Linked DNA regions of Nothobranchius furzeri. The protein of the gene in region 2 interacts with the protein of the main gene of each other region in a pairwise test. Links are inferred from orthologs where the notes say so. Each region holds a gene or a part of one and is shown on either strand. Other genes may lie near its edges.

What was found.
Region 1: the proteins of cep76 (region 2) and kiaa1143 interact in binary tests that used the Homo sapiens proteins (3 or more experiments, as listed by UniProt). The two-hybrid records come from large-scale screens. The link is inferred for Nothobranchius furzeri from reciprocal best matches to the Homo sapiens genes CEP76 and KIAA1143.
Region 3: the proteins of cep76 (region 2) and pard6b interact in binary tests that used the Homo sapiens proteins (3 or more experiments, as listed by UniProt). The two-hybrid records come from large-scale screens. The link is inferred for Nothobranchius furzeri from reciprocal best matches to the Homo sapiens genes CEP76 and PARD6B.
Region 4: the proteins of cep76 (region 2) and nhlrc2 interact in binary tests that used the Homo sapiens proteins (3 or more experiments, as listed by UniProt). The two-hybrid records come from large-scale screens. The link is inferred for Nothobranchius furzeri from reciprocal best matches to the Homo sapiens genes CEP76 and NHLRC2.

Annotation. Positions count from the first base shown.
Region 1 is NC_091745.1:80,717,569-80,721,221, forward strand, and holds kiaa1143 (uncharacterized protein KIAA1143 homolog), read left to right. Parts: upstream 1-1,301; 5' UTR 1,302-1,392; coding exon 1,393-1,506; intron 1,507-1,983; coding exon 1,984-2,131; intron 2,132-2,219; coding exon 2,220-2,425; 3' UTR 2,426-3,148; downstream 3,149-3,653. Other genes in the region: transmembrane protein 42, read right to left, coding at 1-59, 146-292, 665-817.
Region 2 is NC_091745.1:49,058,738-49,062,251, forward strand, and holds part of cep76 (centrosomal protein of 76 kDa), read left to right. Parts: intron 1-139; coding exon 140-268; intron 269-457; coding exon 458-646; intron 647-2,333; coding exon 2,334-2,500; intron 2,501-3,110; coding exon 3,111-3,270; intron 3,271-3,514. UniProt on the Homo sapiens protein: Centrosomal protein involved in regulation of centriole duplication. Required to limit centriole duplication to once per cell cycle by preventing centriole reduplication.
Region 3 is NC_091755.1:48,112,510-48,116,774, reverse strand, and holds the start of pard6b (partitioning defective 6 homolog beta), read left to right. Parts: upstream 1-1,460; 5' UTR 1,461-1,593; coding exon 1,594-1,656; intron 1,657-3,619; coding exon 3,620-3,842; intron 3,843-4,265. UniProt on the Homo sapiens protein: Adapter protein involved in asymmetrical cell division and cell polarization processes. Probably involved in formation of epithelial tight junctions.
Region 4 is NC_091756.1:38,299,113-38,303,228, forward strand, and holds the start of nhlrc2 (NHL repeat-containing protein 2), read right to left. Parts: upstream 2,806-4,116; 5' UTR 2,763-2,805; coding exon 2,603-2,762; intron 1-2,602. Other genes in the region: dclre1a (DNA cross-link repair 1A protein), read left to right, coding at 3,325-3,721. UniProt on the Homo sapiens protein: Required for normal embryonic development.

The sequences.
Region 1 (3,653 bases), about 32 Mb from region 2:
ATCCCTGCCCACCACAGAGAGGTGTGTGTCTCTCTGAAGACCAGCCTCCCCAGGAGTCCCTGGACACAATCACAGCAGAGGCAACGTGAACGGGACCGCTTTCACCTGGAGCACGTGAGCGAGGACAGGACAGACAAACGCTGACCGAGCAGATGAAGTTGGACGCCGTGGTGGTGACCGTGGCCCCCGCGGAGGAGGAGGCATGGCGGAGAGCCTTGGAGAACATGGTCCACATGACCGCGTTACAGCAGAGCAGCAGACCTCCACACAAGAACCGCAGGGGCACGTGCATCTGAAAGCAGGGACAAAACTTCCGGTGTTTTATCGAAATGTGTTCCCCTGGTGTTCAGTATCCTTCTCTTTTGACCGTAACAGATCGGTGCTTCACCGTTTATTCCGGTTTTTGTCTCCGTTACATGATTACAGCTACACCATGTTAGGACGTTGTTGAGAGGCATGAAAAGTGTTTCCGCTAGCTTCTGTAGCAGATCTAACCAGGAAACACCCCCCATGGCTGGAAATGAAGACCAGTCTTTCACGGGGAACACATTTGTGCGCAGCACCTGCTCCACACCGGAAGAAGGTTCAACAAGACTCCAGAAAAGTTGCGATGTCAGAGATCTGCAAGACGGAAGCTGTAAGATCTAATAAAAGTAGTTATTACCCATCCGCAGACGGAAGCTCCTTCAGACCAGCCGCGCAGCGCGGAGTCGCACATCTCCTGCAGGTAAGCGGGACCCAGGGACAGCTTAGCGGACAGAGACGCTGCGGCGCCCAGAAAACCCGCAAACAGCGCGTAGAGAGATCCGCAAAGCATCTCAGAGGAAGTAGTACAGTAACAAGACTACTTGGAACTACAAGCACCACCTGAACGGAAGTTTGTCATCCCATGTGGGCAGGTGCGGTGAGATTTCACAATAAAGGTCTTATTTGAATCACGTTTTGGCTTTACTGACATTTTTAAGCCAGGAGAAAATATTTGTTGCTCAGTTCGCTGATATATTCTGTAACACTAAGTTTATGTTGTATGTTTTTCTAATGTGCAACATGTAAATGTGTTTAGGTTATATCTAGGAAATTCATCTTTTTTACGCAGTTGTAGTTTTTAAATAAATCAAGTCTTGTTTATCATCATTTTTATAAATCAACTGTTTTCCCCAAATGGCAAACACGCATAATCAAACCCGCACTTTCAGTCTAAACACCAGTAGTTTAAGCCGAAACAATTCCAACCTTTATTCTGAAAGTCTTCTATTCCGGTTGACTTAAGAATGCACGAATCACAGCTGCTCGTGAGGGTCACGTGACCCGCCGCGCGTCTTATCGCGTGGTTTCCGTGTTTTGTGCGGAAGTCGCGTTAGCCCGTAGCTCGTGGTTGTTGTGCCGTTTCTAATGAATAAAAACAGAAGCAGCGGGGTTTCGTGGGTGAAACCGGCGGAACCGTCGTTCCTCACCAAGTTTAAAAGTGACGTCGGCTTCAAAGAAGGACCCAACGTCGACACGAAGGTAGGGTTGGGTTACCTGCGCGGAGTAAACAGGACTCCGTCACCAGCTGGTTAACCTCTGATTCAGATGGGATGTGAGACTCATCAGCTGTTAACCCAGCATCACTGCTAGTTAGTCCCGTTAGTCATCAACATAGCGGTGACTTTACACGTGACCCGTCCGCGTGGGGAGCGGTGAGCTGCAGCTATGGCTGCGCTCGGAAACTATTTGGTGGTTTAACCCCTTAATGCTGAGTGTCAAGCAGGGAGGTCCCACTAGTCCTGGGTGTGACCCGAGCGGGATTTGAACCCCGGCCTCCCACTACAATCATACACTCACACCACTGGGCCACTGGCCAGGTTTAGAGGCCGGGGTGGTTTGGTGAGAGTTCAAAACTACATTTGGTTTTACGCTGATTGTGAAATTAGTTTGATACAGAAGAAGTCTTTCAGGATCAAAATCAGAACTGTAGGTTTTACCTTCCGGTTTGCATCTCAGCGCCAGGTGATGCCAGATCTGGACGATGACGGCGGGAGCGATCGAGAGGACGAGTTACCTCAAGTTGTGGTTCTAAAGAGTGGAGATCTGACTGCAGAGGAGGTGAAGACGATTAAGGATGGAAAGGACGATCAAGTAGATGCAGCAGGTCAGACTGTGGTTACCACACACACACACACACACACACACACACACACACACACACACACTCTTACTCACTCCCGCTCTGCCCACAGGTAGCGAGGCCCCTTCTAAAGGCAAAATCCTGTTCAAGAAGCCGGCCAAGCGCTCCTCTTCAGACAAGTTCCAAGGCATCACTGCCACTTCCAGCAAGAAGAAGAAGAGTGAAGCAGGAAAAGGGGGGGAGGAGGGGAAAACCGGGAGTAAAGTAAAAAACAACAGCCTCCTGTCATTTGGAGGAGACGAGGATGAGGAGGACTGAAGTGAACTGATGCTGCCCGAGATGTAAACTAGCTTGTAAATATTTTGAGCTGCTGCAGCCGTCCCGTGTGAACCGTGTTTCCGTCCTTTAGCCGCTGCCTTCAGGGCATCCAGATGGCTGATTTACGTTTCTACGTGAAACTCTAAAAACTGATTTTCTTGTGTCGGTGAACGCACCACAAGAGCTAAATCAACAGGAACCGACCGGTTTCCGTTTTCATCTCCAGACTCAGTATCTGTACATCAGAAACAAGCCGGCACGTTCCTGAGATCCAGAACCGCCGTTCCTGCTGCGGTTCTCCTGCCCACCAGTCGGACCTTCTACTTTAACATCAGCAGCTCTCCAGATTTCATGAAGGTCTTTAACGTTGGCTGCTGTTAACCAGTTCACTAGCTGATCTTATTCAGATGTTGACCTCTGACCTGTCAATCATCCAGGAGTCAACCGCTAAACCCAAGGGATGAGCCGGTCTTCTCTGTGGAGCAGCCTCCCAGTGATTCATGTAGTCATGAACGTTCCTCTGGTGCTGGTTTCACCTGCAGCTGTTTGGAGATCAGGTCTTACTGGTCACCTTCCAGTAAAACCACTTCTGGGACTGGGAATCGTGGTGTTCCGTTTTCCTCCGTTAGCTTCAGGCTCGTGGTCCGTTTGTGTGTGAATAATGAATTTTTACGGTCGGTCTTGCTGCAACGTTTGATAGAAACAATAAAGAATTTAAACCTTTCTGATAGTTTTCTGCATTCAGCCCAACAGCACTCCAAACCCTACAGTGAAACATTCATCCATTCACACGCCGATGGTAGCCTGGGATTGAACCTGCAACCCACCGGTTACAGGGAGAACTCTTAACCTGAGCCACGGCGGCTCCTCCCGCCCTCCTGAACCCGTTTGGTGCCGAGGAATGAACCCAAACATCTCAGAGACGAGTTATTTTAACCTCTTTATTCCAAAGGCGCGCTTCATTCTCACACCTGCACCCTCCTCATTACAATTGATGGAAGAATCAGACCAACGAAAATCTGCTCTAGGTCCTGTCCAGCTCTCGCAGAGGCGGGAACGGGCAGACAGGTGAAAACGAGCCAATCGGATGTCTGCATGAAGCCAAAATGTCTCAGAACTGTTCGATGGGATCAGAGCGGCGGCTGCAGAGGGGAGACGACCTTCTGAAGCGTCATTCAGTCCGTTTCTGATCATTTTGATCTGCTGCATTCTGGGAAATCTGAGCATC
Region 2 (3,514 bases):
ACCCTAATCTCTGTGGTCTAAGACTGAATGGTTACAGCAGAACTCCATCACTGTGCTCATGAAGCGACGATCTGTGGAAACGAACTCAGAGCTGTGAGGGAAACATGTTTGCTGATGATGTCGTACGCCCCCCCTTCAGCAATCCCTGGAGAGACAGAGGACAGCAGAGAAGGAGAGGCTCTTCCTGGTTTATGCCAAGCAGTGGTGGAGAGAGTTCCTGGAGATCCGACCTTCTCACCAGTCCAAACTGGTGAAGATCTTTGCTCAGGTCAGCTATTGTTGCTGAGTTCTGCCTCCCTCTTTAGCACTTCACATGCAAGTGACCACTTCCTCTGAGGTCTACTGGCTCTCTTACAGTGTGTGACGTGGTTTTGGGAGGAGAAATTCTCACACTTCAGCCTTAAATGTAATCTCTGAGCATTCCCTGATTTGTGGGGGGTGTCTGCACGCTTGACAGGATGAGAACGGAGTCAACAGACCAGTGTGTTCGTACGTGCGTGTCCTTCGTGCCGGCCGCCTCCTGGAGAGTCCTCGACAGGCCGCCCGCTTCGTCAGCCTGCTGGCTCACCAGAGGCCTCCAGTGGTGGGAGGGGGGGCCAAGCAGGAGCAGTGGTGCACATTACTGGCGTTCCTGTGCCGGGGGAAGGTACGTGCCTGGCGCTTCCTTTTGTTTCAGGACCGAGAAACACGTTTAGAGAATTCTCTCAACATCCACCTCGTAACAAAAGAGGTTGTCACAAACAGACATCACAGCAGATCCCAGCGACAAGAAACGAGTCCAAGGTGGTCATCGGTGTTTATACCAAGTCCTGTAGGGGGGTTAGGGCTATCAGTGAGCTGGTGGTGTTGGACGGTACTTTTTTCATTTAAAGGTGGACGACATGTAAAAGCCATGCGAACAGGCTTCATTTTGAAAAGTAACAGTTTTAAGGTCCAACCTTCTGTCTACAAGCCCTCGCTCTATAGTCATAGGAAGTGGTGTAACACCTGGTGCAGCGGATACGGTCAGAAACATGACGTTCTCTTAGGTCTTTTGTTGGTTCGTTCTGTCTTTGGTATGTTCTTGCTGTGTTGCTTTTCTAACGGCGTTGTTGGTTCTCTTTTAAAACACAGAAAAGGTTTCTTTTTACCTTGCTGCTGACAGTTTCGTTCGCGGCTGCAAACTTCCTCAGAGCTGACGCTGATGGTGGCGTCACTTCCTACTCCGTTTATCCGCGGTTCGTTCTGCGTTTCACTTCATAATCCATTACAGTTTAGTAAAAAAGAGTTTTTCACCTGACATCAATCAATCAATCAATCAAAGCTTTATTTGTAAAGCGCCTTCCTCAACCCTGTCAGGAAGCCCAAGGCGCTGAACATGGTACAGTAGAAGTACAAATATAGTGAATAAATCAAAAATAATAGCAATTCAGAAATAAAAGCAATTCAAATTACAAAATACAAATGACATGTTTCGACTGATGCCTCGAGCCATCATCAGAGATCGCTGGTGCTTCCGTTTGTCCGCGGGCTGCAGAGGACGGTGTTGAAGTCGTGTTTACCTGACCTGTAGTTTTCCACCTTTTAATAGAACGCTGTGGGTTTGGGGCTGTAGCTGCATCGCTTCCCTGCAGAGTTCTTATAGAAAACTTGTATTACCTCCTACATGCAGGGTGAGTGTGCTGCACTGAAAACTAACTAGCTTCCTCCTCTCAGAAATGTGGCCCGGCTGCCCTCGCATGACCCTAACTTCTGAGCAGGGCAGTGTTGTTCCTGAGGTCATCTTGCCTTGATGGTGGGGAGTTTCCCAGACCACCACAGGATAAATGTTCAGTTCCTCTTCTCTGTGAGAGGCCGGCGAGACAGACGCAGCACAATTCTGGCAAAGTGGTCCTTGTCAGTGGTGATTTATGAGTTTCATTCCAGGGAAAATTAATTTAGCCCATCAGTCGCCCACCTGTTCTGGTGCTGCCGTCCACATTAGCACTTCTGTGGAACATCTATCATCTAGCAGTCCCGGTTCAGCCGAGGCCTCTTCACTAGAAGGCTCGTTCAGCTGAAATGAGAGTAGTTAGGGTTATGTCTTCTTCTGCAGACTCGTCGCATATGAGAAAGCCCGAGAGTGCACCAAAAAGACTCATTCAGTTTTAAAACATCACAGGTGCTGCTGTTCCCCAGTTTGGATAAGAAAGATTTGCTGGCAATACAAGATTTGTGGTCAGTCGATCAAAACATAACCTAAGATCTCCCCAAGGTTACTTAGGATGATGCACAAACAGCTTAGGATCTGACAGAAGTAACTTAGGGTATCGTAAAAGGTGACTTTCCTCGTCCTGTGTGCTTTGTCCTTCCAGGGAGACTGTGAGGACCATGCTGCTCTCCTGTGCAGCCTCCTGCTGGGCTTTGGTCTAGATGCATACATGTGTGTGGGCACCAAAGCCAAAGGTGTTTCACACGCCTGGGTCCTGACCCGTGGAACCGACGGGACCATCACCTTCTGGGAAAGTCTGACGGCACATAGGTGCATTTTTAACGTTTGTCTTTGACATTTCAGAGAAAACCTAATTAGTCCACAGTGGTCCTTTGTTTTAGTGTGTGTGTGTGTGTGTGTGTGTGTGTGTGTGTGTGTGTGTGTGTGTGTGTGTGTGTGTGTGTGTGTGTGTGTGTGTGTGTGTGTGTGTGTGTGTGTGTGTGTGTGTGTGTGTGTGTGTGTGTGTGTGTGTGTGTGTGTGTGTGTGTGTGTGAGAGAGAAGGAGAGAGTGAGGGTGTGTCTGTGTGTGTACGTAAGTGTGTATGTACATGTGTTTGCGTTTTGTGTGTGTGTGTGTGAGAGAGAGAGAAGGAGAGAGTGAGGGTGTGTGTGTGTGTGTGTGTACGTAAGTGTGTATGTACATGTGTTTGCGTTTTGTGTGTGTGTGTGTGAGAGAGAGAGAAGGAGAGAGTGAGGGTGTGTGTGTGTGTGTACGTAAGTGTGTATGTACATGTGTTTGCGTTTTGTTTATCTGTGTGTGTGTGTGTGTGTGTGTGAGAGAAATAAACAGGATTAACTCAGAGTCTTATGATGAAATTTCCCTGAAACCAGCAGCCAGGCTTTGGCCCACAGGACATTTATTTCCTGTTTGCGTGATCAGATATCTGCACCGAGCCGTTGATCCAGACGCACCTCCCCTGGCCCTCCAACCCAAGCCTTCTTCCCCGTACCGGACCGTGGGCTGTGTCTTCAACCACCAGAGCTTCCTGGCAAACTGCCAGCCCTCTGATGCCGTAGAGCTCTGCGTCTTTGACTTCCAGGTCAGAACGCATTTTACCACAAACATCGGTTGTTCTGGCTTTTTGTTACTGTTTTAATTTGCTTTTCTTAACATTTAATGTTCCATTTAGACCCAGGGCCACTTTTGGCCCGCCTCTCATTCGATCTCTCCTGCAAACTAAGATAATAATGAATTTATCTTAAAACAGCCTTTAGCTTTTAGACCAACTAGCAAAACTATTAGCTCTGCAGGTCGGTCTAGCCACGCTCCATTGTAGCTTCAGC
Region 3 (4,265 bases), on a different chromosome or scaffold from region 2:
ACAACAAAAGGATGAGCTGACCTTCTGCTCATTAGGAGCGCTTTATGAGCTGGAGGAGGCGGTGAAAGAGCCGAGCTCTGGCATCACTATCTGACATGTCTCAGTTTATTTCTGGGATTAGTTCATTTTTAATTTGTCACTGTTTCACTTTGAAGGAAAAAGGAAAACAAAGGCCTAATCCACATTATATTTCATGAACAGAGCTGCAGAAACAGTTAGAGGAATCCTCATTTCACCCGGGAGCCGCATCCTTCCAAACCAGAAATGCAGTTTTAGATTAAATCTGGAAAAAAAGACCACGACATTTAATTTACTGGATGCAGTGATGAAGGTGATTTCATATATAAATACACTAGTTTCTGCTAGGTTCACTTTCCATGTTATTACATATTATAAGAGACTTTCCACATGTCAAATGACAAATTAGTTTACAAAGACATTAGAAATTAATGACATATTTTCTTATTTTAGATTTGATTTAATGTAATCTGTATAAAATTATAAACTAGTGTTATAAGGTCTTCACACTGTTGGTAAAACATGCCTGTTTCTGCAGTGACCTCACTTTGTGGCCAGGGGGTGGCGCTGTAGTGTTAGAATAAAAAGTCAACGTGGTTAATGCTTTCTTCAAACTTATTGAACTTGTTAATAGTATAAATACATTAAACCTGATTACAAGGCACGTTTGCTGCAAATCAGGACATCATGAAAAATGTGTTTGTCTAAACAGATTTATTCTTTCATTTATTGCACTCTGTGCAATTAGGAATAATGACTGTGCTTTGAATACATTTAACTTTATTTTTAAGCTGTAAAACTGGACTCAATATATATATATATATATATATATATATATATATATATATATATATATATATATATATATATATATATATATATATATATGTATGTATATATACCGATATTGCAGCCTTCAGTACTGACCGACACCGATATCAATCTGATACGATATCAGCACAAATCATACATACTTTTATCTATAACTTCTTATATATATATATATATATATATATATATATATATATATATATATATATATAGAGAGAGAGAGAGAGAGAGAGAGAGAGAGAGAGAGAGAGAGAGAGAGAGAGAGAGAGAGAGAAACATAATATTTTTATGTGATTTATTGTCCATCTAGTATTAATCTTGTTGCTTGGATTAAGATTACCAAACCCTTTCAGGTTTTTGTAATGCGATTATAAAAACGAACCTTATTTTGAAGCCAGCGGAGTCACAGAGGCTTTTATTTTGAAGCGTCCGGGTCTTTCAGCTTCTGAAGAGGCAGACGGTCCGTTCGGGGGCGGGTGGCGGACACACACCGAGAGGCACCAACTGAGCGGCGTCGGAGCCAGAGTTGCAAAAATGAGAGGAGAGAAGTTCACAGACTGAGACAGGCTGCTTGACAGCCGTCGCAACGTTTTTGGGAGCGACTTCAGCGACCGGTGGACGCCGAGACGTGGCGGGACAGTTTGTGTTCCTGGAAAAATACCACTCTTTTCGGTGTTACGGTAACTGCAGCAGGGCGGTGTGTGTTTATGAGTGCCTTGGCGGCGGTCCCGCTGCTACCGAAACATGAACAAGACCCACCGAGTGCCGAGCAGCCGCTCTCTGAGTGCCGTGGAGGTGAAGAGCAAGGTGAGACGGGACGTTTTTCTCAGTTTTACGCGCTAACTCTGTGGCGATTACTCTAGCTAATTTAGCCTGCTAAGTGGCTCGGCTGGCTATGGTCGCGCGCTAATGGCACGTATAAACTGCGCTGATTCGGACCCTCTCTAAGCGGCGGTAACTTTTGAGCGCAGTGTGACGCAGGAACATTTAGTTAGTTTTATTCTGTAAGTTTGAAGGTGGAGGTTCGTGTCAGCTGGTCGGGCCAGTGTCACCTGTCACTTCCTCCGCCGCTCCCTCTATTCGGTTACCGACGTTTCCCCAACCTCCCGTTTATGTAACGGATTTTTAATCGTTAATGACCATTAAAGCCTCCACGAAGGTGTCGCTACCTGCTGGTCATGGAACTATTTGTTCCTGGTGTGCAGGTGTCATTCGGCTTCAGCAGGTGGTAGCCTGGCTCCTTCCGCGGCCAGCTAGCCGTGTCTAGTCCACAGCATAAGTACCGTAGTTACTGTTTGTTGTTATGATAGTACTAGTTTAATTTTTATAACTTCTTTTGGGTTAACATGCTTCTCAGCCTCATCACAAAGTTATAGAAGTGTGTTTTCCAAACTGAGATGTGAAGAGGAACTAAATAGTTCCCTTTCCTCATATTTAGGACTCACCTTTTTACCTCCAAACCTGTGTTGTGTACATATCTGTGCTCTGATGAGTAACTAGTGACCAGTGAATTAGAGATTGTTCATTGTCAGTGCTTGGCAACGGTAACCACAACAACCACTACTTCCTGTCAACATCAGCAATGAGGCATTGGTGTGTGTGTGTGTGTGTGTGTGTGTGTGTGTGTGTGTGTGTGTGTGTGTGTGTGTGTGTGTGTCAGCTACACAGCTGCCAGAAGATCAGGCATCTGAGACCATTTATCTACTAACCTGCAGCGTTTATTAGGGGATGCATTTGAGCTGAAAATAGGGATGTTCCATTCCGATATCGATATCTGAAGTAATTGGATGTTGGCCAACAAACAGAGTATGGGATTATATCAGACAGCATCAAAAATCTCTCATATAAGCAGTCCATTAAGCTTCACATATTTGCAACCAATGGTTAAGAAAAAATTGTCATTTTTTTCATACTTACTGTCATTGGCTCTTGTTCTCCGATTGAGTAATATCACCTCATCAAGCCTTTCATCCATTCCACACTACGAAATAGGTAAAAGTATGTATGATTTGTGCTGATATCGTATCAGATTGATATCGGTATCGGTCAGTACTGAAGGCTGCAATATCGGTATCGTATCGGAACTGAAAAAGTTGTATCGGGACATCCCTAGCTGACAACACCTTGTTTTGTCTGATGACAGAACCAAACATCCTGTAAGGCCTGTTGATAAGACGGTCTTATTCACCTCTTGAATTTATTGCATCCACAAACCCATAGGGATGCAACGATACCACTTTTTCCCAGACCGATACAATACTGATACTTGGATCTGAGTACTCGCCGATACCGATTACCTATACCGATACTTCTACCACACAAAAAAATGCAATGATTTGGAATACAGATTTTATTTTCTTCTCTGCTTTCAACAGGAAAGACTGTGAGGTAGATAAAAAGTAAAATATATGAATAGAAATGATCACAAAACTAAAATATTAGGTGAACAGAAATGACAAGTTACAGTCAAGCCATTTTCAAGCAACTGCATTGGTATCGGTTAACTTTTACCAATACTGGTATTGGTATCGGTATCGTGCCGATACCAGTATCGTATCGGTGCATCCCTACAAACACATGCTGTCTAGTCGCAGTGTTTAATAATGTGTTATGTTAGCTTTTACATGTGGAAGCCAGACTCATTACGGTTTTATACTCATTACTCCTTCCACGTCATTTTTTCTACATCCCAGCAGCTCTAGTTCTAACCTTTTTGATGTCTTTTTGCATATTTATTCTCGCGTCCTAATACCTGTCTGCCCCGTCCCAGTTTGGTGCTGAGTTTCGTCGGTTCTCGCTGGACCGGTCGAAACCAGGTCGCTTCGATGAGTTCTATGGGCTCCTGCAGCACGTACATCACATCCCCAATGTGGAGTTGTTGGTGGCCTACGCTGATGTTCACGGGGACCTGCTGCCCATCAACAATGATGACAACTACCACAAGGCAATCTCCACAGCGAACCCTCTACTCCGGCTCTTTCTGCAGAGGAAAGGTAAGAGACGGTCTTAACTGTAACCCACTTCATGATGCTAGATTTGCTCTCTAGCAGAAGTTCAAGTATATTGTTTTGATTTTAAACTCAGAAATATAGAGTCAGTCATTTATTTTGCTGGGCCAGGGGTCGTCTTTCTGATTGTTCCAACCAATACTAACAATGGGAAATGTCTTCGCACAGGTGATGTTTAGACAGTTTGTGGACATGCAGCAATCCACCAATCACAGTAGTTCTTAATCAGCTTGTGGAAGCAGACCATTTGGAGTCCTTTGCTATTTATGCGTCAATCAACGGTATACTGAGCCACAATTGGTTTAAGCTACGTATGTGAGAATAATGTCATGACTCGAGGTAAGTGTCTAACCCAAGACATGCAGGATCAAACTCGTCGAGCTGGTAGAGTTTAAAGAAAAGTTCTTT
Region 4 (4,116 bases), on a different chromosome or scaffold from region 2:
ATACAAAACTGGAATGAAGTTTATGTTAAGGATGTTAATGTTGCATATGATAAATTCATGAAAATCCTAATGGAACTAAATAATAAACATTGTAAATTACAACAAATTAAGTTTGGTAGTGAACTTCATCCTTGGTTGACTAATGGCATAAAGAATGCTTGTGTAAAGACAAACACTTTGTACAGACGTGTTCTTAAATTACAGACGGAGGCTGAGGAAAAATATAAAAAACATACAACTAAATTAACCACAATCATAAGGAAACACAAAAATAATTATTATAGTGAATTGTTAAACAGAAATGAAAACAATTCACAAGCTACCCGGGGAATAATAAACAGTGTGACCACCAGGGTAAATAAAGCTGATTCTAATTTGCCTAGTTACTTTGTCAAGGGACAAACTGATATTTATGACTTCAAAGAAGTCACTAACGAGTTTAATGACTTCTTTGTAAGTGTAGGGACTAGTTTGATACGTACAAAACCAAACGTAGAAGACAAACTGAATACTATTACAGAAAATCCTAATAGCATTCACCTTACTAAGGTTGAAAAGAATGAAGTGATTGACATTGTAAAAAACTGTGGAAACAAAAGATCTAATGATAATGAGGATTTGGATATGATCATGGTAAAAAGTATAATTGAAACTGTTGTTGAACCATTTACATATATTTGTAATTCGTCACTTTCATTGGGAGTATTTCCTAATGCAATGAAAATGGCTAAAGTGGTCCCATTATTTAAGAATGGTGATAAACAAAATGTTACTAATTATCGACCAAAATCACTGCTTCCACAGTTTTCTAAAATTATGGAATAAATCTTTGTTACACGGATGGATACGTTTATTGAGGAAAATAGTGTTCTAAATAATGGACAGTATGGCTTCAGGGCCAATCACTCAACTGCTATGGCTATAATGGAATTGGATAATAGAATATCAACAGCAACAGACAATAAACAATATTTTCTAAGTATTTTTATTGATTTAAAAAAACTTTTGATGTTATAGATTATGATAGGTTATAACAAAAATTACATGGCTATGGAATCAGAGGTGTGGCACATCAATGGGCGAGAAGTTACTTAGAAAATAGAAAACAATTTGTTCAGATAGATAATATTAAATCACAATTGAGGGAAATTGGTCATGGTGCTCCTCAGGGGTCAGTTCTAGGCCCAAAACTGTTTTTATTGTACATAAATGATTTAATGAATGTATCTCCGCAACTTGGAAGCTTATTATTTGCTGACGATACAACTTTGTTTCATTCAGGGTCTAACATTGCTGAAGGTATCAAAGAGATAAATGATGAGTTAATGAAAATCACAAACTGGTTTGACACAAACAGGTTGTCACTTCATCTTAAGAAAATTAACGTATCGTTGAAAATGGATGGTATGGGACTTAAGAGGGTAAAGGAAATCAAATTTTTGTGTGTTATGTTTGATGAAAATCTTTCATGGAAACCCCATATTATACACATTAAGGGTACAATAGCTAAGGCCATTGCAGTATTACACAGAATTTAAAGTTTATTGAATAATTCTGGAATGTTAACTCTCTATAACGCGATGATTACACCATATTTGATGTGGGGCAGAGCTTCATAAGATGTATTCTTCTGTCTGCTCCTTTGGATAGAATTTTATGTTTATTGATTTTATTCTGATCTTGTTTTTTTTTTACATATTTTTTTCTTTGAATGAAATAAAGAAGCAAAATAAAAAATGAAAAAACAAAAATAATGCTACTTTAGGTGTAGACGTTGATTCATACCTATATTTCTATTAGAAAAGTACAGCTAAGAATAATGCAGGGCCGATGCACAATGTTTCTGAATTTTTGGAGATTGTATTAATCATGATCAATGTCATAATGAGAATTAGAATTATTTATCACTCCACAAGACTGTACGATGAAACTGAGGACTATGCTAATTTATGCTGGTTACAAAACAAGTTATGCATTAATATTGAAGCAATAAAGTAATCTATGGGGAGAAACTCCAGCTGAATGGCAGGGTAGTGGGGCTAAAGGTCACCATCTACTGGTGTGATTAATTATTGCCAACACGCTATATGATCTCCTCCCTGGTTTAGTAACAGACATTATAAATATAATCAGTATTATGAATGAAAAAGAAAGAGCCTCAGTCTAAGAAAAACTTATTTACATGAATAAAAGTGAAAAACATTAAATTTCGTAATGACATGCTGTCTATTATTGAGTCTCAACCGCTGGAAATAAAGGTTTCTTTTAAAGTTTTAAATTTTTTTTTTTTGCTGTGGTTCCTCATGAGGACTGGAATGTCAGACCTAAACAAAGTAGTTGCTTTACTTTTTGGTCAAAGTTTAAATTTAGTTGCAGCTCTGCTCAAATTACTAGGAGCAAAAAAATGCAATGTAAGAAAGTTATGCCCGACACCATTTGGAGTTAACTCTTGGGTTACCACAAAAAATAAATAAACGCAGGTAATCAGTTACTTCATTTTGTAAACAAGTTCAGAACTGTGTTTAAACGGTAAGTTAGAAAACACACGTAAAACTCTTTAGCAGAGCTGCTTTGCTAGGCTAAAGCTGAAACTTGATTCAACCTGGGTGGAAATCGGGCGTCTTCATGTCCTCCCCATCGTCTAATTTTTTCAGATACTGATGGACAAGTTGTTCCTTATCTTCAGTCGTAGCCTCATCTAAATCACATTCAAGCTGACTCTGTAAAGGAAAAAGTGTAGAGAGACTGCACTGGGACGCCATGTTGACATCAACAACAAATTTACCCGGAAGTATCGCCGATTGCCCAACAGCAAATTGCCCAATCAGAACCGGGAATCTCAACAGCCAATCACCGCCGAGCTATAAAGTAATGATGTAGATTCCCAACCCTGGTTTCGATACAAACGTGAAACAAAAATATTGTTCCTGTAAAGAAAACCTTTAATATTACACCTATTTTAAACGGAGTTAATCAAAGTTTTATGAAAATTTATATTTTCAACTGATAAAGTCAGCTAAGTAAGGAGTTCTAGTTCAGTGATTGTGTAGAAAGTGCGGCTGGGTTGATCTTGGAGTATTAACGTTAGTAACCGGTTTACTGTGTGGCGGTAAGTGTTGCTTGCACTAAAACATTCAGGAGGAAACGTTATATTTTAAGAAAACATGACTCTGTCGTAATTAATTACTTATTTTTCGATGATTACTTAGCGTAGAATTCATGCAAAGCAATAAGGACCATCTGTATTAGCACAGCAGTCGTCCCTGGAATGTTATCCTTCAGCAGTACTAGTGTAATAAAGAGTGTTGTGGGGAAACGGTTCAAATGTCACAAAAGGACGACTCTGAAAGCGACATTTGGGATTATAAACCCCTCATGAAGAAAAAAAGAAGCAATAAATCACAGTTTGTGACCAGAAGATGCCCTTCTAGGAAAACGTCCAGGAAAGACACTTCTGTTCCAGTCAAGTCTCACAAGGAGAGTAAAACAGAAGAATCAGGCGAAAGTGGAGCTGCTGCTGGGGATGAGGAGGAAGACAGCAGGTTAGAGGCTACCCTGTTGACTCCTGCTAAAGAGACAGTCGAAAGAGACAGTCATGAGGCAGGGACACCCTCTGAAGACTACTGTCCCATCTGCCAGATGCCTTTCTTCATTCTGGTTGTTCAGTCCCAGAGGTGGCACGTTGCTGAGTGTCTGGACACCTGCAGAGACAAATGTGAAGGTAAAACTGACACATCTAACACACACACACACACACACACACACACACACACACACACGTGATGGGCTGTATTTGCATTTACACTCATCTGTTTTAGCCTCTCTTGACATGATGCTTATTAATGTATTCCTGCTCCGATGCTCAGAGCTTATATCCCCATGACAACCAGGAGAAGAATACTCTTCTTCCTTCCTTCACTCATGTTTACTTCTAGTCTACATCTGCAGTGTTTTCCAACTTTTGGGACATTTGGAATCTGATTACGGGCATTATTCTGTTCATTAATCATCCATCCCGGTGTATATCAACTCTCCTGTTGGCATGGTTACTTGTTATAACAGATGTTCACTAGTGCCTGAAGAAATTGTTGAAGCAACACACGATTCAAATCAGTC